Lonchura striata: one gene and its partner. The protein of the gene in region 1 interacts with the protein of each later gene in a biochemical or structural test. Links are inferred from orthologs where the notes say so. Each region holds a gene or a part of one and is shown in the gene's direction. Other genes may lie near its edges.

Region 1 (10,104 bases):
TACCCAAATGAATTGTGAAGAACACATCAGTCCAGCTGCTTTTCTTGCCTCTGTAGGATGATATTCTTGAGAACCACAACAACCTTTTATTTGAGCAGTCATTTCTACAGAAAGGCAATTGGGATATTCTGTAGTGCACATAGGCCAGTTTCAACTTCCATCAGAATACTCAGGATGCTGTCCCACCAACACAACCTAGTTCAATGCAGATGGTTGTCAAACTGGCTTCCAGTGTTGGGCCTGCTTTTATTCCCTAAATAGCAATTTTTCCACTCACAGCCATTAAACAAGTGGAAACAAAATGGGAAATATGTCTATGTATAAAACCACATAATGGCAGGTGAATAAAATATTTAAATCAGCAAAGATGCAGAAGAAGCAGCTTTTACTAACTTTCAGAATTAGAGGATCTCAAGCCAAGAGGATCTCAAGCCAAGTATCTGCTGTATTATTATGAGTTGTTCATGGAAACTGGAAGTAACAAGATGAAATAAAAAAGGCTGAATTCAGGATTTATGGCCAGAAAATATCAGTGTAATAAAATGCAAGTGGCTGTGCTTTAGGCAGATCACTGTCTACAGGAAAGATGCCAGCTTTCCCAGCTTTAGCCTAGTTAGTATGTGTATTGTTAGTCTGAACAACAAGTCAAATGAATGTTGAGTCAAAGTTTATAAGGATTTGTGCATTATTCCCCAAAATGTTTTTAATATTTTCTAAAATTTTAATCACAAAATTAGTCAAGATTGTAAATTATTGTGTGATATATTTCAAATAATCATAATGGAACTACATTTAAAACTAAGATTTTGGTTTTTTGTTTGAATTTCTCTTTAGTGTCACAAAACTTAATTTTCCCAGGCTCCAAACTGGAAATAAGAGCAGAAACTGATAAATATCCACATATAAGGTCCATTAACTTGTTATCTCATACTTGATAATAAAATTTATTTTCTATTTTTTTTTTTAACAAACAAAAGCAACCCATCATTAGGACATGAAGGGCATATTTAGAATAAAATTTATACATATTCTACTTATAGGTCAACATTACTTTCTTTAAAATAGTAGGTTACAATAAGAAAGGAAATTATTAAAAAAAATAATGCTAAAGAATATACTGCTTTTATTTTCTCCAGTAACTCTGAGTGAAGAATGACTGCATGACTTGTATCTCATTTTTTTTAAATCCACTCTTTATTACTTGCTAAAAATTTGCTACATTATTATAAAGCATTTTGACAGTATGCAATTTACTTAATGATAATGTCTTGAGATAAAATTATGAGAGAAACAGTACAAGTAGTGACTGTGTAAGTGCTGGAATTTCTAAAGAAAAGACATTTTACTGTGTCTGCTGTGACTCCAAAACTCTGGCTCATACAAAACAGCCAGATGTCTAAATGTTTCAGCTTTACATGTGTCCATGCTCTATCTTTCCTTCCTCTTTTATAAAGAACTTAAATTCTTACAAATCTATTTTTGAACAAAGTGATATTTCCTCTGTTTTTTCTTTAATTGAGTGAACTCAAGTATTCCTTGGGATCTCCCACTAATTATTTCCCTGGTTATGCCATTTATGCTTTACTGTCTATTTTTTAGTCTTCTATTAATGCTCTGCTTTTGTATTCAAGCATACCGCAGAAAGAACTCAGCAACAATGAGATTAAGGAATATATAAAATGTAGAGAGAAGTTTGTTGCCTGTTTTCATTGTCCATGACAAAGTTTAGTTTACTGCCCAGAGTCACTGTTCCCTGCAGCTTGTGCCTCTTCATGCCCCCAGACACAATCCAAATAGGGATCAGCACAGGTATGTAGAGGGATTGGTGTGAACCCTACAAGGCTCATTAAATCACTGCCCAACCAAATATCATTGGACATTCCTCTGAGTCTACTGACAAATTGCTCGACTCTTCCCTGGCCCAGACCACTTACCACTCTCAAAAAATATTCCAGAGCTGATCTGAAAGTTAACGTGGTGCTGTGGTTTAGCTTCAGCTGGCAACTGAGCACCAGGCAGCTGCTCACTCAGTGCTGCTTTCCCAATGGGGTAGGGAGGAGACCTGGAAAAAGGTAAAAACTCAGGGGTTGGGATAAGAACAGTTTAATAATTGAAACAAAGTAAAAAAGAATAGTAGTAGTAGTAGAAGTAGCACTACTACTACTACTAATAATAATAATAGTAATGAAAAGGAGAGTGAGGGGGGGGGGGGAATAAAACCCAAGAGAAACCAAGTGTTTTCCAACAGAGTTTCTCACCACCCACTACTCGGTGCCCAGCCCACCCCCAAAATATGACCAGCTCCCTCCTGGCCAACTTCCCCAGTATATAATAATATATATGATATATTTAAATATGACAGGATATGGAATATGACAGGTATGGAACATCCCTTTAGCCAGTTCAGGTCAGCGCCATCCTGGTTTCTGGTGTACCTGCTCACTGTCACAGTATGGAAAACTAAAAAGGCTTTGACTTAGTGAAAGCATAAACAACTAAACTACAGTGTGTTACCAACATTATTCTCATACTAAATCCAAAACACTGCACTGCACCAGCTAATAAGAAGAAACTGAGCTCTATCCCAGCAGAAACCAGGACACATGGGCCATTCTGGGGTCGTCCCCATGTTCTGGATGCCAACAGCATGGACGTGGACCCCTACATTGCCAGCTGGCCTTCATATTGGATCACAGCCTTGCAGCCATGCTTAAATCAGCAGTAGAGACATTGTCTGGGAGTCAGATCTTTCCAAAGTGGGAAATCAATTGCTGGGCTTGAACTGGCTGGCTAATGTGACTCACAGTCCTTCCTGCAAGGACTTCCCCTTCAGTGACAGGCTTGAGGTTTCATTCTTGCCCCATTTTACACCATCCCCCAACTCTCTTGATCTATGCACATGTACATTTAAAATGTGATGAACAGCTGACCTACTGTAGATGTAGTGAGGCTGGAATCAGCTTTTTTTTCCCTTTTGATGAATATATAATGAGAGACTTCCTTTCCTGCTTACACTTTCTAAAGTAGATTTTGTATATATTTGTAACAGTGGGAACAATGATACATAAACCCATGACATTTCAAGGGATACTAACAACCTGTCTTTTTAAAAAAAGTATAAAGCACAGTGTATTTATTCTACTCTAACACTTCTTCATATTAGTTCCTTTAGGGCAAACCTGATGAGTTTGTTCTGTCTCACAATTTACTATTGCACAGCAATCTATTAAAGGTAATTCAGCACGTCTTTTATTTTTCCAGATTATTTACATTATAGATAGGATTGCATTCTACTTGACTGCTGGAATCTATTATGCATTTATGAAACTAAATTTTATTTTCACCAATGCTTTGTTAGGAGAAGGGAATATTAAACTCAGCAGAATACTTGATAATGAAATGAAGATATAAAGAGGAAAGGAGGGCGAGCAAGACAGATGTGGGATTTGTGCACTACTTCTCCAAGAAGAAAGTTACAAGATCAAAATGCTTGTCCTATAGAGGAAAATGGAAACATGAGGCACTAACTGTGCACTTCAGAAATAGCTCATTTTACATAAACTTTTGGAATCCAAATTTCCTACCAAAAAGAAATCCCCAAACCCAAGACAATGTATATTTAGTCAGATCTTTCATTTTTACATAAAGTTTTCATTGGGAAAAAGGTTGTTGTCTGGTCTGTTCATTTTATTGTTGTTTTTTCTTATTGTTATTGTTATTATGAAATATCTTTACCTAAGTTGGGGCAGGGGAGAAAACATTTACCAATTTTTTACTTAAAAATTGGTAAATGTTTTCTCCCCTCCTTGAGGAATTCCTTATTGTCTCACCCTACAATACTTTTAGAGGTTGGTCTAATGCTGAGTATTTCCACATTATTTTAAACATTGATGATAAAATTCAAAGAAGACCAGAAACTATTGCCCACTACTTTTCAGAGCTCTAGAGATGCCCAGGGACATCTGGGACTGATTAAGAAATGTGACAAACTATGGTCTCACTGCTTCTATGGACTGAGTCTTCTAGAGGATCAAGGCAGACACCTGTGTGCTGGAGCCAGGGTATCAGACGGGACTGCAGCAAACACCAACCAGTGTGCAGTGATTGTGCCAGCTGCACATCACCAGGAGTGCCAGGCCTTTACATCAGCACCAAAGATCTATAAGTTAATTGACATGAATCGGGTTCTCCTCATGAACCCAACAGGGTGTGACCCGCACTGAGCTATTTTCAGCTATTTGGGTGTCCTGTTAGAAGTCCTCACCAGTTCCTGAGTCCACTCCAACCCACAGTTAGGCTGTGCTGGTGGACTTTGGGAATGTGTACAGAGGTGCCTTTGAGTGTCTTGCATCTTGTAACACTTTGACTCTTTCTCAAACTCGATCCATTATCTAAACACTTCTATATGGAAAGCTTAAATGCTTTTCATTTGAAATTCTGCCTTGGAAATCTCCATGACCTGAACTCGCCCATGTGGCTTGGCAGTACACACATGACACTTGACTCTAGTTATTGTAAAGCTTTTCACCTGCATCCTCTGGCTGTTATGTCCATGCATTCATATTTCCTGTTTTCCTGACCTGTGAGATTTTTATTTCACTTTTCACCAGGCTAGTAAATCATTCTTGAAATAAAATGAAACATTGAAAGATAAGCTTACTTGTTTTGTTTCTCTCAACCAAGCCTCCAATTGACCTTAGAAGCTACTTAGAGTGGATTTGTGGAGTTCAAATGGTTTTTTGGCTGTTGGTGGAACAAGAGAGCTTTTTTTTTGCCTATCAGACTAACAGAGTTTTATTTTGCTGTAACTTTCCGAGGCTCATGATGGCTCGCTCCCCTCTGAGGCAGCTCGGCGGGGCGGACCCCCGACACTCCGCCGCAGCCCCTGCCCCACCTCGTCCCCGGCACAGCCTCCAGCCGGAGGAGCCGCAGCCGCCGGGCCGGGGCCGGCCCCCGCTCTGCCGCTCGCCCGCTGTCCACCACATGCAAACGCTGCCCGGCAGCAGGAAGTACCCGGGCTGCGAGCCTCCCGCGGCCGCGCCCCGCCCGCGCCGCGACAGCCGCGCTCCGGCCCCGCCGCTGGCGCCCGGGACAGCCCGCTCCGCGCCCCGCTCCGCGCCCCGCGCTTCGCTCGCTGCCGCGCAGCTTGCGCACCCGGCAAAGTAAGTGCCTTCCCCCGGGAAAGTAAGTAAGTGCCTTCCCCCGGGACAGTGAGTGCCTTCCCCCGGGACAGTGAGTGCCTTCCCCCGGGACAGTGAGTGCCTTCCCCCGGGAGCGGCGGTGCCCAGCGCCCCGCTTCTCCCGCGGGGCTGCCCGGCCGCGCTGCCCCGCGCCCCCGCCCCGCCCCGCCCCGGCGCGGAGCGGAGCGGAGCGGCGGGACCAGGCGCTTGCCGGGCGGCTCTCCCTCGCTTCTGCCCCCGCAAGGAGGTGCCGCTGCCTCTCGACCTGCCCGGTAGGACTGGATGGGGTCTTAAGGGAAATAACCGCGTTTGGGATAAAATAATCGTTCTCAAAAGCATGATTTATCTCATACTCCTTTGCCTGGCTTCTGCTGTGATCCGGAGGGCTCGGGTGCCTTCTGGCTGTTTCGTGCCGGGGAGCGTGTGAAATTACCCGGTTTAAGTCCGCAGTCGGCGTTTCGAGCCAAAACGATAGCCTTGACTGAGGTGAGGTGATGTGATCTCTGGGTATCCCTTCTTACGCTGCTTTTTTTCGAGGAGCATAATTTATCGTGCATTCTGCAAGTTAAAGCTTCTTCTTCTTAAGTGTCTATTCAAATGTGCTTGGAATTAAAAGATGAGGAAATGGTGTTGTGATGCTTGGTGTGCAGTGTTTCTTGCAGACTGCTATTATAGGTACTGTATTCCTAAGGAACAGTCTTGAAGTGTTTTCTCCTTACAATTTTAGTTTAGGAGGTGATGCTGTACCTTCAGTAAAGCAGTTAAGAGTTTCTGTTAAATTACATCTTTCAAGTGTTTGCAGTGAATGAGTTGGCACAAACTCATCTTGCTGCCTTGCTCCCCTCTGTTGGCAATAAAGACCAAAGGGATTAACGCTTAAAACTTATTTAGCCAGGTCATATTCCCGCGGATATACATAGGAAGAACAAAGCTAAGCTTTATCTGAAACCTCTAGTCAATATCCCATCTTCTGCCTTTCGTTCCCACCTTTGAAGAAAGAGAAACACTCTGGACAATCTTAATGTATTTTAGGACATCACAGTACAAATTGAAAATTAAAATTTTTAATCTGGATCCCATCAAGTACCTGTATGACTTTTGCAATTTAGGAATAGTAATGTTAATTGAAAGTATCTGTGAAGTACAAGTGCCACGTGGATAAGTCTGCACTCAACACAGTATCACTATAGAGTTAAAACAAAAAGCAGAAGATACGTGTTGAGAAATTGCAAAGCTATGTTGGGAAAACATAGCTCAATTTTACCAAAAGGAGAGTCAAATTGTGTTTGTGTCGATAGTTTCCAACCCAACACTGAGGACAGAATAGGTGTTATCTTTTTAATACAGACTATCAACAGCATTGAAAGTATGGATGAGAAAAAAATCAAATCGTTTTCTCTGAAAAAGTAGCAACAGGCTAGAAATCAGTTAGATACTGTTAAAAGGATGTTATGAAGCCTTAGAGAAGGGTTGAAATTAATGAACTGTGAGATCAAAAGATGTCTTGTTTTATGGATCTCTTCTGAGATTTAAAGCTTTTTCCTTTCTCTGTTTCAACTTTGTGAGATACAGACTAGTTAGGAAAGAATTCTTTACTTAATAACATAAAAATCTGTTTTAATTGTGTGCTGTTCTGATAGATTTTTTTTTTAACCATGATGACATAGAATGATTATCCTTGTACAGTAGCTGGCTCACTTCAAGTTATTCAGCTTTTCTCCATTTTTGAGTAAATAAGAGGTTTTTCTTACAGAAATGTACAGAAGACATGGTAAGGTTTAGGCCTTCCTTTTTAAGCCCCTTGACCCTTGAGTTGTGCAATGACTCTGACAAAGCAATCAATTGTGAAACTTTACAATGCAAAGTTAAACCCTGTTGCCTTTAAGTTGTTCAATACTATGGGGTTTAATGTTACCCTTTTCAAGAGAGTTTCCATAAATGTGAAACTATTCCTTGCAGGTGATTATGAACAGGTATTTATGAATGTACAAGTAACTATTTCATAGTACTTTCCCCCCGCCCAGTTTATCTGTGTAATTGAAGTGACCTCTCTTCCTATGGCATTTTTGACTCCTATAAGCTAAATGGCATCACAGAGCAGCAGGTGTTGAGGGAAACAATTCCTGTGACAGGCAATGGAAACAAGTCCAAGGTCTCCTGGCTCAGCTTAGTTCTGTTCTTCAGTGAGTTGTCTCACCAAATCAGAGATGCTACACCTGGCCCTTCTTGTGGGGCACGTCAGGGAGCATCATTGGCCTCTCTGTAGTTATTTGGGAAAGTTTAAGTGATGCCATATTTAATCTCAGATGTGATTCCATTGCTGTCACAAAAAGGAGATGTTTGCCTACCTCTACTCTGAATGTTATTTTGAATCTTAATAGGAATCTTTGAGATTTTGGGATGAACACATGTTGATCAGAAGGCAATTTTATTTTGTTCAAAGGGCTAGGTGATCTGGGAAGGGGATGAGATCTTTCCTCCTTTCCATATGTGCATATCCTGAGTAACTGAGTGACAGTTTTTTCTTCTGTCTAAGGAGTTGTAAAACCATTTTTACTCTTGGGGTTCAGGGAGCCCTTTTCAAAACTGAGTGAACCCCGAAGATAAGTTCATGGGGAATAACTAACTAACTAACTTACCTAACTAATTAATGGGGTGGGCATTAGGTATAACCTAGGATTCCTGGCAATCTGCTGTACACAGAGGGGGATGTCTCATGGCACAGAGATCTCAGAAGAATATGAGCCATCATGTGCTAATGCAAGGGATGGGAGGAGAATCTGTCAGCTGGGGATCCTGAGAGTTCTGTGAGCTTTATATGCAGGGAACGATACTTCCTTTCAAAGCTATGGAGCCAAGTGTGTAAGTAATTACACCAAACCATGTGATCTGTTAAGCAGCATTTGTTATAATATTGCCTCTGTAGGATTTCCGTCTCTAAGCAAAAAGGCTTCATTCTATAGAAAAAACAGTTTCCCAGCTGAGAATTAGGATTTTTGTCCTGTTGTTCATATTCCTACTTCCTATTTCTCCCATTTATTTCTCTCCCTTCTTTAATGAGAGTATAGGAATGCTAGAGATGGTGTAATAAGAAAAGCTTCCAGACTTGCTAAGCCATGCCACAGGAAACTGTAGATAAAAATGTAAAATTACATTTGTATGAAAACAGTCTTTAATGACGCATGCAGGGTGAAGGAGTCTGCCACCCTGTAAGCAATAATGGTGCCTTCTCAAATAAATTAGCCTGTACTAATAAAAGACAAATGCAATGTCACTGTCCTCAGTGTGACTGTTCCTAGTTTAAACTTCATTGTCCTTCAGGGAAGGATGGAAAGGTCTGTGCCTTCATATTTATTTTTGCCTGATTCAGATACATTTCCTGTTGACATTGTCATTAAATGCTGTAATTTCCGAGACTGAATTATTCACGTTTGAGTTCAGCATCTTTCCTGAAAAATGTGGGTTCATGGAACAAAACACGAACGCAGAACTCATCATGTGCTGGAAGCATTTCCTCCAAATATTTATGGGATACTTGTATTTGCTTTGTGCCTTAAAAAACTACTCATAGAGGTAAATAGATCAGTTACTTTTGTCAGGCAAATGTCAGAAGAGAAATGGTATTTTGACAGTAACACTTTGCTGGAGAGAAAATAAAGGAGGACACTGGGGGAAGGTGGAGGAAATAATGGGTAGATCTCATTTCTCTGGTGGGTTAGAAGAGTGGACTAGTTCTGTCCAGGCCAGCCTTTGGTCTCCCTTAAGTCAGCATTGCCTATTTTTTTCAAACTGCTGGCATCTTATGTATCTACAATTGGTTCCTGTGTTTGCACAGCACACTTGTCTTACGTCTTCAGTTCAAAGGACTCCAATGATAAACAGTCTCAACAAAGTGAACTTCTTCCTCTATGGTCTCTGCTGCATGTGGCAGAAGGTTTCTTCTTCCTGTGGTTGACATATTATAGAATTTCTTGCTTTAATTTGCAAAGGCCAGCTGTGATAGGAAATAGTGCAATCGTAAACTGGAACACATAATAGTTCTCCAAAAGTGTTGAAGTATGGGATGCAGCTACTCTTCTGCAATAGCACTTCTTGCAGGTTTCTCTATTATTGGGGGTCACTCTAAGCATGGAAATGATAAAATTTTGAAAGGAAAGGACTCCCTCTGGGATGTGCTTTTAACTTCTCCTTTGTTGGTTTAAAAAAAGAAGTTTCAGGAAGTTGGTCAAAAAAAGCATAATCTGTTAAGTGGGCTTTCTGATGTGGTATCTACAATCTATTGCTTTTTTCATGTTTCCTTCCTTAGTTTGTATACATAGGTGTATACAAACCTGTTTAATTTTTTTTTCTTTTAATGAAATCTTATTTGGGTTTTACCTTAGGTTTAAACTGAAGTGTGGAGTTGCGTTATTTGTATGTTTTATTATCCCTGTATTATGTATTGGTTTATTCCTTTGTACCCCCGTGTGCAACTTGGTTTATCCCCAGTTTTCCCGCCTTGTCCGCCCTTCCCGCCTTCCCAGTATCTATCCATCACCCTGAAAGAGGCATTTTACCCCTCCCCGGGTGCCTTGTCTGTCACTCGGTGCCCCTTCCCATCCATCCAGAAGCTTCTACTCAGGGCACCGGGTGATTGGGCGAGGACCTGGGGCTCCCCCCATATCCTTCCCCCATTGGACCCCACCATATCCCCCCATCCCGGAGCCACCCCCTATCCCTATCCCCATTGGTCGTTGGATACCCCTCCCTTACAGTTTATAAGCCAGTGCAAGCACCTTGTGCTTGTTCCTGTTGGCTGGCACCGTTCTAGGACATTTGGCCCCGTTGGGCTACAATAAACTCGGACTTAGCCCCCAGCAGGATCCGCTCTTCATTTACCACCGCGAGGCTTGCTAGCGCTGCCCGGGACCCACAAAGGCACTCT
Region 2 (10,830 bases), on another chromosome or scaffold:
TAACAGATCTGATGCCTTTCCTAGGTATTGTATGTAATGTGACTTATTTAAAGCCTTGTTTTTTTGCTGCTTTCTTGTTAGTTTATGAGTACTTTAAAGTGATGTACTTTCAGAGTTGATCTGCACAATTAGCCAGTCAGAGCACGTGAACCAGACATGTTGAACATGAATTCAGAAGGATGTCAGATTTGGATGAAGAAAATTCATACCACCAGAGTGCAGCATCCAATGTTGTGGAGCAAGAGTATGTGACTACAGAACTGTAGTGCCATTAGAAACTGTGAATTTCCAAATAAATCTGAACACTTTGTCTTTCATTTACTGGCATTTTTTCCTTTGAGAATCAAACTTGTGGCTTACATTCTTTGCAAAGGACTAGTCTTAAATTTTCAGCCCAGGACTAGGACATGGGATCTTTTGGGCATAGTAAGGAGTTCATAAACTTGTCGGCCTACATATGTTTTTCTGTTTAAATAAAGAAAAGTGTGGGGGAGTGGATTCTGAGGGCTGAGTGGTGCTTTGTCTGAAAGGTCAGGAATTGTGGGCCTGTGAAACTGCTGGAGAGGTTTCCAGCAGTCAGTTCACACCTTGTCCTGGGGCATCCCTGCACATGGTGGTACACTGTGAGAAGAACTGCATGAAATGACTTCTTGCTACTCAGAGCTAAGGCTTATGAAGGGTACAGGAGGCCCTGAAAGGAAAGAGAGTCATTATCTCAAACCAGAGTATTATCTCAAACCAGAGTTTTCAGCTTGAAGTTTGCCCCTTATTGGTCCCTCCCCCCTGACTTATTTCTGTCAAGCCCAGCAGGATTTGTGCAGCCAAATGCCAGATTCACAGGCTGGCCAGCATCTGCTTGTCAGAGGAGACCTCCCCAGCACTGAGTTTTCACTTGAGTGTCTCAGGACTCTGCTTCATCACAGAACTAGGATTTAAAAATATAATTGAATGTGGAGTTTGCTGAGGGAGGAGTGTGCAGGGTGTTTTGGGGGGTGGGGAAGTGTGGGTTTCTTTTATTTACTCCTTCCTCTTGTTATGTCACTTGTTAGAAGTGTGTATACCTTTATTGCCCAGGGGTTTTCAGTAGGAATTACCTGAAGCTGGACATGACCGAATTCTTAAACAGCCCTTCTTAAAGCAGACACTGGCTATGAACTAGAGAACTCCCAGCTCTATCCTGTGCTGATAAATGGGACTGCATGTTGAAATCCCAATCACATATTCAGATTTCCAAGTTGACAATTGCAGATGTAAAACCAAATGTAATTCTAATCTGGTCCCTTAATACCCTGCTCCCTCTATACTGGGCCTGACTTAGGTCTAAGGAATTGATGCATTCTGTGGAAAGGTACCAGTGATAAAGCTTGTCCTGTAATGAACACGTGGGCAGTGTGCCATGGAAATAAAGCATCCGAAGGAACCTACTGGCCCAATTATGGTTTTGCAGACTTGAGAGTGTGTTCTGGTAAGAAATTGGAGATTGAACCACAGATTCCACCTGCTACTGCCACGCTGCTTTTAGTAATCTTTTAACTTCCTTTAAAAAAATTACCATCAGGTAAGAGATTGCCTAATGTTTTCCTTTCATGTGGGCTCTTGAGTAATTTTTTACTTTCAGTTTTAATAATGTCATGCAATCTTGCTTTCAAAATTTGGTTCTATGGAATCAAGTCTCTTAAATTGGTTATTAACTTTATGTAGAAATAATAATTTCTAATGAAGACAGTTTATACATCAGAAATTCCTGTGTGACTGTCTCATTATTGCAAGCAAAGGTTGGACAGCTGTTGGTGTAAAACACCTAAAAGCAAAGTGTGTGCTGGAGTGAGGATGGTGTCCCTCAGTCCTTGGGCAGGTCCTGTGAAGGTTTCCATGTGAGGGTGGATGGGTGCAAACACACCTGGTGTAAGTGCATTGCTGTGTTTGCCAAAGTAAGGTGTTCATATACATTCAATATCAGTGGAAATCCAGGCTTTCTTGAAGATGCAGACCCTACCAGCCTGTGTGGTGATGTAAGCAGAAAACTCAGATCTGAGGTGGTGTGTGGCTTCTGCTTTTGCCAAGTTACAGCACGAGGTGGAACAGCTTAGCAGGTTTTGCTTTGTGAGGTACAAAAATGTTCCACTTCATTTGGAACAGAGAAGTGGAGAGCCCTGCCCACGGGGTGCTGTGGGGTGTCTCATCTCCTGGAAACCCTGAGTGTCCAACAGCAGCTGCTGCTGGGCTTGGTGACAGCTCCAGGGCCTCTTCCCACAGGTGACAGCTCAGTGCGGAAGCTCACTCACCTTGACAGCCCTTCTCCAATTTAAGCAGAATGGATTTGGAAGAAGCTTCCAAGGAGGCTCCTGCTGCCTTGCTGCTCTCTGGTCCTGAACAGGGGCTGGCCCTTGCTCTGCTGCTTTCCACTGAGTCACCAGGAGCTCCCACGCAGCAGGGCAGCTTTTGGGAGGCGATGCAGAGGAGCTGAGCTCTGCCCCTCGTGGACCTAGAGATGGAACAGAAACGTTTGCCACCTTGGGGCCAGTTTTTCTGCCCTGTTAGATGTGGTTGGAGCCTCCGTCCAGCTGCGGTGCCCTCTGTGAGCTCGCAGCAAACAGCAGCCCCTGTCTGCTGCTTCTCTTTTCCCAGAAAAATAACTGGAAGCAGCTTCTGTGAGTTGTAATGCCACAGTTACCGTTTTGTTTGAATGGGCTGAGGCTGGCTGCTCCCAAGAAGAAATAAACCTGTCAAGCACCAGGCAAGCCCCCCTGGCCAGCAGAGCCAGCTGCTGTTTGCCAGGGCTGGGGCTGGCTTTGTGCCCAGAGGCTGGGGCAGGGCACAGACCCTGCAGAAGGGCTTGGGAATGAGACCCTTGGCAATGTCTGTCCTCCCTTCAGCTGCGGGGACAGGGACTCAACACCTGCACTTCTCTTGGTCTTCCTCACAGCTGGCCACAGCACCTTGTTCTGTTTTGCCCTGTGGCACCATGGAATGACCCTGCTGCTGTTTCTCAGAATAGATCCCCTGACCTCATAACCACTATACCTCATTTCCCTGCTCTCACCACAAGCACAGAAGAAATGAAAGCAGCAGAGTAATATTTTAGGTACTCCTCTTGTTCTCATCTGCTTCGGGCCCATGTGTTTTCTCTCACCCTGTCTTGCTGAATCCAGGGCTGCTGGCTGCTTGTTGGAATCAGGGTGAAGGAGGGGACAGAGCACCTTGCTCACTGGAAGAGGGATGCGTTAAGCACTGTAATGCCAGGGCAGAGCTGTTATCAGTGGACTTGAAAACCTGTTCTTGTGTGTGAATATCTGAATGTCCTTGTCATGGCTTATATGTGCAACAAATGCTCCTTGCAAGGAGAGCAGTTGTTGAGGAAATGAAGAGCATCACCTGTGTTTGAGAAACCAAACTGTTAATAAACACAGAATAAAGAAAACAACATGAAGATGTTGGTGCTAACTGCAAAGGCTGGGTGAGTTCTGCTATCTTCCACACCCCTCTGAGGCTTCAGCAGATGGAGGCCCACTCCCTTTGAAGGCAGCTCTCACAAGCATTCATACCAGTGTTCAGTCAAAAATCCATCTTTTCGTTCAAACTCCTTCAGATTTGGCTCACAACTCGTGGCTCCTTGGGAAGCTTTTTTATCCTGTGAGATTTAAGAGCTGGAAATCATCCCTCTCTTTACAGGTTTTCCACACGCTGTCCATCCCTCCCGGCCAATCTGCTCTTGAACAGACAAATTTGAACCTCCTTTCTGTCCAACAGTTCCTGCAACTTCTTCCAGAGCCTCTCTGGAGTTGAACAAAGACTTGTGAAGTGATTCCAGGAGTGTCTGTGCTGTCCAGAGCTGTGTGTGAGCTCTCACGGGAGCTTTCCCTGTGGGCTTTCCCTGCTGGAAGCTCATGTCCAGCTGAGGTGCCTCTCAGCTTCAGACTTGTTTTCTTTCTAGCACATTGTTTTCTACCCAAAGAGCTTGATCTTCAGTCTTTGTTCCTTGCCTTGTTTTCTTCTGATTCAATTCTCTGTCCTAATGATGTTGAATCCTGTGTTTTTGAATGTGAATGATTCTCAACTTTCCCAGTTGCTCTTGGGTGCACTTCCTGCGGCTTTCAAGAGCTGCTTTTTACCATTTCCACTAGTCATTAGTGTAATAGGAAATAGTTGTTAATTGCTTCCAGAGAGACTGTCCAAAACACAGTGAGAGCCTCTCCTACACAGAGGTTCACACTTCAGTTTTTGTTTTGAGTTTCAGGGTTTATTTTCTGTCAAGTATTAGATCTGGATCATTGTTCAAGTCCTGCTTTCTTCGGGCTGTTTCAGGCAGGTCCCTAAATTCTGCTGATACAAACTCTTAGCTGCTGGCTGATTCTCTGCCATCAACTTTAACATAATTGTGTGTCTTGTTAATAAGAGTTCCCACCTCTCCTCTGCGGGTGAATTGGGGAAGGAGAGTGTTCTTCTGAGCAAATCCTCTTTTGCAGTCTGTGTAATGTTTTTGTTGGTTTGGTAAAGGGGAACAATTTCTGGTGAGGGCTATGGAAGGTGCTTCCATTGGAAAATATTCCTTCATGTTCAAGTGATGTAACAGGGCTGCTGGAAACAGGGTGTACAGACAGGTTCAAGAGGGGGATAGGGTGGTGGAGGCAAATCTGACACCCCTTTTGTCCTCCTTTATGCCCTGTTTTCCTGCCCAGCTGTCCTTGTTAGGATGGCCTCAGCCTTGTCTAAATTCTGGCTCTAGGCCTTCTAGCAAAATTCACGTGCCTGAAGTGCCCACCTACAGCAAATTGTCCTGCCATTATTTCAGTGGTCCTGTTCATATCCTGTGTCATTTGAGCATTGAAGCCAGCAGAACACAGAGCCTGCAGGCACCACAACCTGCTTTCTTTTTTGGACTAGAGGATTTCCAGAGGTCCCTTCCACCCCCAGCCATCCTGTGGCTCTGGGATTCTGATGTGCTCTGCAGACACAGCCCTGCCTGGCACCACCTCCCAGTCAGTGTCTGGCATCTTGTGGTGTCTGAAGGGGGTGGCAGGAAAACGGAGAGTGACAGCAGGGCCAGCAGAGGGAGAGGTCCCTGAAAGCATTTTGTGCACTAAGCATTTTTGATGGTAAAACAGCCCCAACCTTTGGTTTGCCACCACATGGGGTGTTAGCAGGATCTTGGGCTCTTCATCTGGGCATCCAAAAAAGAAGGTGCAGCTGAAATTGCTTCAGTTGGTTTCCTTGTCTCTCCCTCTCACCCTCCCTTTAAAAAACATCTTTGTGAAAGCGGGAAGCAGTGGGTGTGGAGTAAGAATACTAGTGACATTTAAGGGAAACTGCTACTCTCTCCTCAGTCCCACCTCAACAAGCTGTTGGCATTAACACAGTGTCAGAAAAATGTGGAATGGATCCTCTCCAGGCAAAGCCATAGTGTGACCCTCTCTTGTAATGGCTGTGGGAGGGGATGGGGACTTGGGTGGCTGTTCTGGGACAGAGACAGGGGGACTGAGCCAGGCTAGGCACAACCAAGCTTGAACTTGTTAGGGTTGGATTTCTTCTGCTCTTGTGTCTCTTAAACCCTGAAGTGTGAGGAAGAGCTAGATGGAGTTGTTGAAACCTGTAATGTGGATGGCTGCTGAAGCAAAAGGCTGGTGAATATCTCCAAAAAGCAGTGGGGTGTCTGGTGGTGCAAGACATTGTCAGCACATCTGATTTATTGGTGTGGTTGCAGGCAAAGCTGAGCCCTTGCTTCAGAGAAACAAGTGTACAAAGGTTTGAATGTGCCTTTTACAGATCCCAGTTTTGATGTTCAAGATCAAAGTCTGTGTATTGTGATTGCTTCCTTCAGCCACAGGAGAAATTAATCTCTGGTTTGCTCTTGTATTAATCATTTCCTTTTTTTGAACACTACCCCATAAAAATACACACTTCAACAGGGGTCTGTAAAGTGCAAGGAAAAGTGTCCCTAATTGCTTGTGTGCACCTGTAAATCTGTGGGGAAATCTCACTGTCCCCACTTAGAAATCTGCAGTACATGAGGAATGGAAATCGAGAAATGGATATGTCCCTGTCTCTTTTCATTAGGGTATTGTAACGAGCTCTTGAAAGTGCTGCTCCTTTCGGCATGGTCCGGACTCTCTATTTTTCCTCGGAAGGTGAGAGGGCAGCCGCGGAGCTGGCTCTGCTCCCGCTGGGGCAGCTCTGCCCGCCTGCCTTCCTGCCCTCCGAGGCTTTGAGAGCTCCGTGCGCTGCGGAGCTGCGGGCTGGCCGCCAGGAACGGAGCGACCCCCGCATCCCCCGGGCTCGGCTCCGCATCCCCCGGGCTCGGCTCCGCATCCCCGGCCCCGGGGGCTCCCCCGCTCCGCATCCCCGGCCCCGGGGGCTCCCCGGCTCCGTGCCTCCCGTGCGGTGCGGGGTCCGGAGGCTTTGCCGTTCCTGCGGCCGGCCGGACCCGCCGGCGGTCGGGAGTGCGGAGGCAGCGGCCCGGGCGCTTTTGGGGAGCGGCTGCGGCTGTCGGAGCGGGGCTGTGGGAGGAGGGTGGCTCCCGAGCCCCAGCCGGGCCGGAAGGGGCTTTGCTGCCGATGCTGCGAGGCTTTCGGAGTCGCAGCATCCCTCGCAGCCGCACGGATGCAGCCGTACCAGGGCAGAGCCGCCCCCGGGGCTGGCCCGGCGGGGCTCGGGCGCCGCAAGGACGAGCCCGGCAGGCAGGTCCGGCCCGTGCCGCTGCCGCCCGTGCAGCAGAACCTCAATTATTACCCGCAGATCTTCTGGGTGGACGGCTGTGCCGATGCTGGGGCTGCCCCCGCCGCTCCCTTCCCGCCGCCCGTCCCCGACCGGAGCACAAAGCCACGCAGCGACCGGGAAAGGAGAAGTGTCGGCTTCCTCGTCATGTTCTTGCTGATCCTGGTGGCCTTCACCGGAGTGGGGCTGAGCATATTTAAGATTTTTCACCTGGAGAAGGAGGTGGATGAACTCCGAGAGGTGAGGTCTGCCTGGCTGGGAGCAGGTCCCTGGGGAAACGGGGAAAAGGAACTCTTGGAACGGGGCTGAGATGTTCCCAAGGGGCAGGATGGGGGCATTTCGGTGGCATTTCTCTGTCTGCTTGTTCCCGTGAGGGACTGCTCGGTTGGTGACTGATTTATCAGCACATCTCTGTGCTCCCGAGCGCTGCCAGCTCTCTCCCCGTGTATTTCTTAGCACTTTGCAGCTCCCCGTGGAGCCAAAACACCAGACTGAGCCACTGTCCAAGGCAGTCCCCAGCTGCTCATGCTCTCAGTCTAAGCCATTGTCCCTCTTCTCTCTTGCCAGTCTGCCAGCGCTGAGCACATCCCTCCAGTCTCTCAGAAACTCACAGGTGAGTCCGTGCCTGCAGGAGGAACCCTCAGTGAAATTGAAACTTTCCACAAGAACCTGCCAATTCTTCTAGATTTCATTTAGGGAAAAAAAAAAAAAAAAAAAAAAGAGAGGTTTCAATTTGGCTGGAACAATTTAAGAATTGTGGTTTGAACTTCCAAACTATTGCTTTTCTTTTGCATTCCATGTTAATGTTATAAGTGAGGATATCCTTTTCAAAAATGACCAAGTCAGAAAGAGATATTCAGTCCTCTAGACAGCTTTTTCTAGATCTGAAAAGTTTTCATCTTTTCCCCCTTGAGAATTTTATTAATTAGAAAATTTATTTTCAAATTTGTTCTGATACTGAATAAAAAAAACCCTGAAATAGCAAAATTCTTGGGAAAGGGAAGTCCTGGTTCTTATCAACTCCTATGCCAATAAATTTTCCTCTTTAGGGGAAGGTGAGCTCTCATTTGAACTGCAATGCCCAGTGCTCTGATCACAGGCTTCTTTAGCAGAGACTGAACATAAATAATAAACCTGAATTTCTTGAGGCAGCTGGATAAAGGGAAATAGTGTAAAGGAGAAGGGGGAGCGGAGAGGAAAATTTAATTGGCTTCTGAAAAGAAAAGGCTGCTTCTGAAATTAGAGAAGATGAAGTAGATGTTGAGGAGAAGTGAAGGGATGGAGTGGGATGGGCTCCAAATACAGAGTCACTGGAATGGGCCCATCTCTCCAAAGGGAACTCAGGCCTGCAGGGCAGGCAGAGCTTTCCCAGCTGTGCTCTCCCTTCCTGAGGGCAGCTCCACTCCCCGCCTGGCAGTGGGATGGAGGCTTTGCAGGGTCTCAGGTGCCCCCTGCTCTCTGGGCTGACTCCTCCGTGGAGCTTGTGGCCAATGTCTTTTCTATCTTTGTGCAGGGCAGGGGAAGGAGGTGAGGAGGGCAGCCCATGTAACAGGTACGTGCTGGGGGAGCAGGGCTGGGCAGTGGGATGGGCTCAGGGGTGCCATGGCAGCCGGGATGGCCTCTGATGGTGCCATGGCAGCTGGGATGGGCTCAGGGGTCCATGGCAGCTGGGATGGGCTCAGGGGGTGCAATGGCAGCTGGGATGGGCTCAGGGGTCCATGGCAGTGGGATGGGCTCAGGGAGGGTCCCATGGCAGCCGGGATGGCCTCTGATGGTGCCATGGCAGCTGGAATGGGGTCAGGGGTCCCATGGCAGCTGGGATGGGGTCAGGGGTCCATGGCAGCTGGGATGGGCTCAGGGGGTGCCATGGCAGCTGGGATGGGCTCAGGGGTCCATGGCAGTGGGATGGGCTCAGAGAGGGTCCCATGGCAGCTGGGATGGGCTCAGGGGTGCCATGGCTGGCGTTATGAGGAGCCCACCCCACAGAGGCTTTGCTGTCCTCCTTGGGTGACATGTCTGCTCTGACAGTGGAAATTTGCTCCTCAGACAGAACCCTCCCCCTCACTTATGCTTCTCAGCAAAACCTGGCTCTGGCTTGGTTTTTGGGGTGTGCAGGGCAGGAGGTGGCACTGGAGCTGGCACTGGTGAGGGGTGAGGCCTGGGAGGACTTCCCACACTGCAGACAAGGCTTGGAGAACGGCTGCCTCGTGACGTGGGGTGCGACCTGAGCAAAAACCACCCGACCCAATGTGCTTCCCACCATTTTGTTGGGTCTCGTTTTGGCTTCCAGGCAACCCAGCCCAGCGGGACCTGCCCCTGGAGTGGGAGCCCACCTCTGGCCATGCCTACACCAGCGGCATCCAGTACCGGGACCGGGGGCTGCTGGTCAGCGAGGCGGGGCTCTACTTCGTGTACTCGCAGGTGCTGTTCCGCGGCAGCGCCTGTGACAGCCACCTCCTGTCCCACGTGGTGTACAAGAGGAACCCGGCCTCCCCGGGCAGCCTCGTGCTCATGGAGGACAAAGCCACCAACTTCTGCAAGGACCAGAGGATGTGGGCCCGCAACAGCTACCTGGGGGCTCTCTTCAAGCTCAGGAAGATGGACAGCTTGCACGTCAACGTCTCCAAAATCGCCCTGGTGAACTTTGAGGAATCCAAGACTTTCTTTGGTTTGTTTAAGCTTTGAAAGGGAGCGTGGCTGGCAGCCCCTTCACACACCCACACCCACACGGATGTGTGAGGGCTGAGTCCTGCCTGGGCACCACAAAACCCAGCCAGAAACCGTGTTTGGGCTTCAGCACGAGGGGATCCAAGCAACTGGGAAAGGCTTGAAAGCGGACACCTGGAAAGCACCAGGCTGTGCTGCATCAGCCTGAAGAGAATTGCACATATTCTCCTTACAAAAACCCCAACAAACTCAGAAAGTGGCGTGCAGAAGACCCTGCTGGAACTCACTACTGCCTGAGAAGATGGTGGGATCTGCTGCTCCCCGTGGTGTCACAGCCCTGGTGGGGACAGCTGGGGGGTGTTATGGAGGTGTCTGGGTCGTGCCACGACACCACAGACAGTGGTGTGGGGATGAGCAGTGTGAACAACTGCTCCCCTTGAGCCATGGCAGGCGCTGCCCAGCACTGTGGGACTGCTGTACCACAGGCAGCTCCTGCTGTCTGGGCTGGGATAGGTGCTGTGTTCATTTGGTGTTAAGCTATGGACCGTTCCCAACCCAGAAAATGCTCCCCAACCACTTTATTTAACTCATCCCAGCTGCCTTGCAAGGAACATGCCAGCAGCAGCAGTGCCCTGAGGGATGTCCCAGAGGTGGCAGCGTGACCACCCCATGGTGGTGGGGATGGTGGGGTGGCCACGGGCTCTGCTGGTGCAATCTAAGCAACACAGCAGCGCAGGGCAGTGGGGCTTGAGGTGGAAGCAGCATCTCGAGCCCCCCTGCTGCCCTTTCAGCACAGGAGGGTTCTCCATGGAGGCCTGGTCTGCCAGCCCTTTCCTGATGCAGCTGGTGACATGCTGGCACCTGTCTTTGGCTGGGTCCTTGCCATGAGATATTCCCTCCTGAGAAAAACACAGATAGTAAATATATATTTTTCTAGTGAGTGGTCCTCTCCTCATTTGGTGCAACAGGCTGGGCCATGGCCAAAGCACTGCAAAGCCTCTGTGATCAGGGGTCAGTGCCTCATTCCTTCTCCAGCAGCGTGGCAGAAATCTGGGAGCCTCATCCCTCTTTGCTGCCCACTTGGCACTGCACAAGGCCCTTTCCATGAGGCTTTGGAGCTCCAGCACTGAAACAGCAGGATCTGGGGCTGGGAAGGTGTGGTGTGGGCAGCACAGAGCAGGCAGCCCGAACCCATGCTGGCCACCAGGAAGGGCTGAGCTCAATTCAGAGCTGGAGAGGAGCTGGGCACTGGTGGCTGAGCAGAAGTGCTGCTGCCTGTCTCCAAAGGCACCACTGTGTGACCTCTGGCCCCAGAAACACTTCTCACAGAGTGGTCTAAGGGCAAAGAAACAAAGTGGTGTAAAAAAAAACCCCAGAGCCTATTTGTTCATCCTGGTGTCAGCCCCACGGAGTTCTAACCCCGGGGTTGTCACTGCCCCTGCCACCAGCAGG

What was found.
Region 2: the proteins of LYN (region 1) and FASLG form a complex in vitro, tested with the Homo sapiens proteins (2 studies listed by BioGRID, with this or other methods). The link is inferred for Lonchura striata from reciprocal best matches to the Homo sapiens genes LYN and FASLG.

Annotation. Positions count from the first base shown.
Region 1 is NC_134603.1:39,096,878-39,106,981, reverse strand, and holds the start of LYN (tyrosine-protein kinase Lyn), read left to right. Parts: upstream 1-5,064; 5' UTR 5,065-5,162; intron 5,163-5,362; exon of another isoform or gene 5,363-5,452; intron 5,453-5,613; exon of another isoform or gene 5,614-5,739; intron 5,740-10,104. UniProt on the Homo sapiens protein: Non-receptor tyrosine-protein kinase that transmits signals from cell surface receptors and plays an important role in the regulation of innate and adaptive immune responses, hematopoiesis, responses to growth factors and cytokines, integrin signaling, but also responses to DNA damage and genotoxic agents.
Region 2 is NC_134611.1:357,470-368,299, reverse strand, and holds FASLG (tumor necrosis factor ligand superfamily member 6), read left to right. Parts: upstream 1-6,545; 5' UTR 6,546-6,597; coding exon 6,598-6,951; intron 6,952-7,278; coding exon 7,279-7,324; intron 7,325-7,407; coding exon 7,408-7,436; intron 7,437-8,238; coding exon 8,239-8,263; intron 8,264-9,001; coding exon 9,002-9,396; downstream 9,397-10,830. UniProt on the Homo sapiens protein: Cytokine that binds to TNFRSF6/FAS, a receptor that transduces the apoptotic signal into cells. Involved in cytotoxic T-cell-mediated apoptosis, natural killer cell-mediated apoptosis and in T-cell development.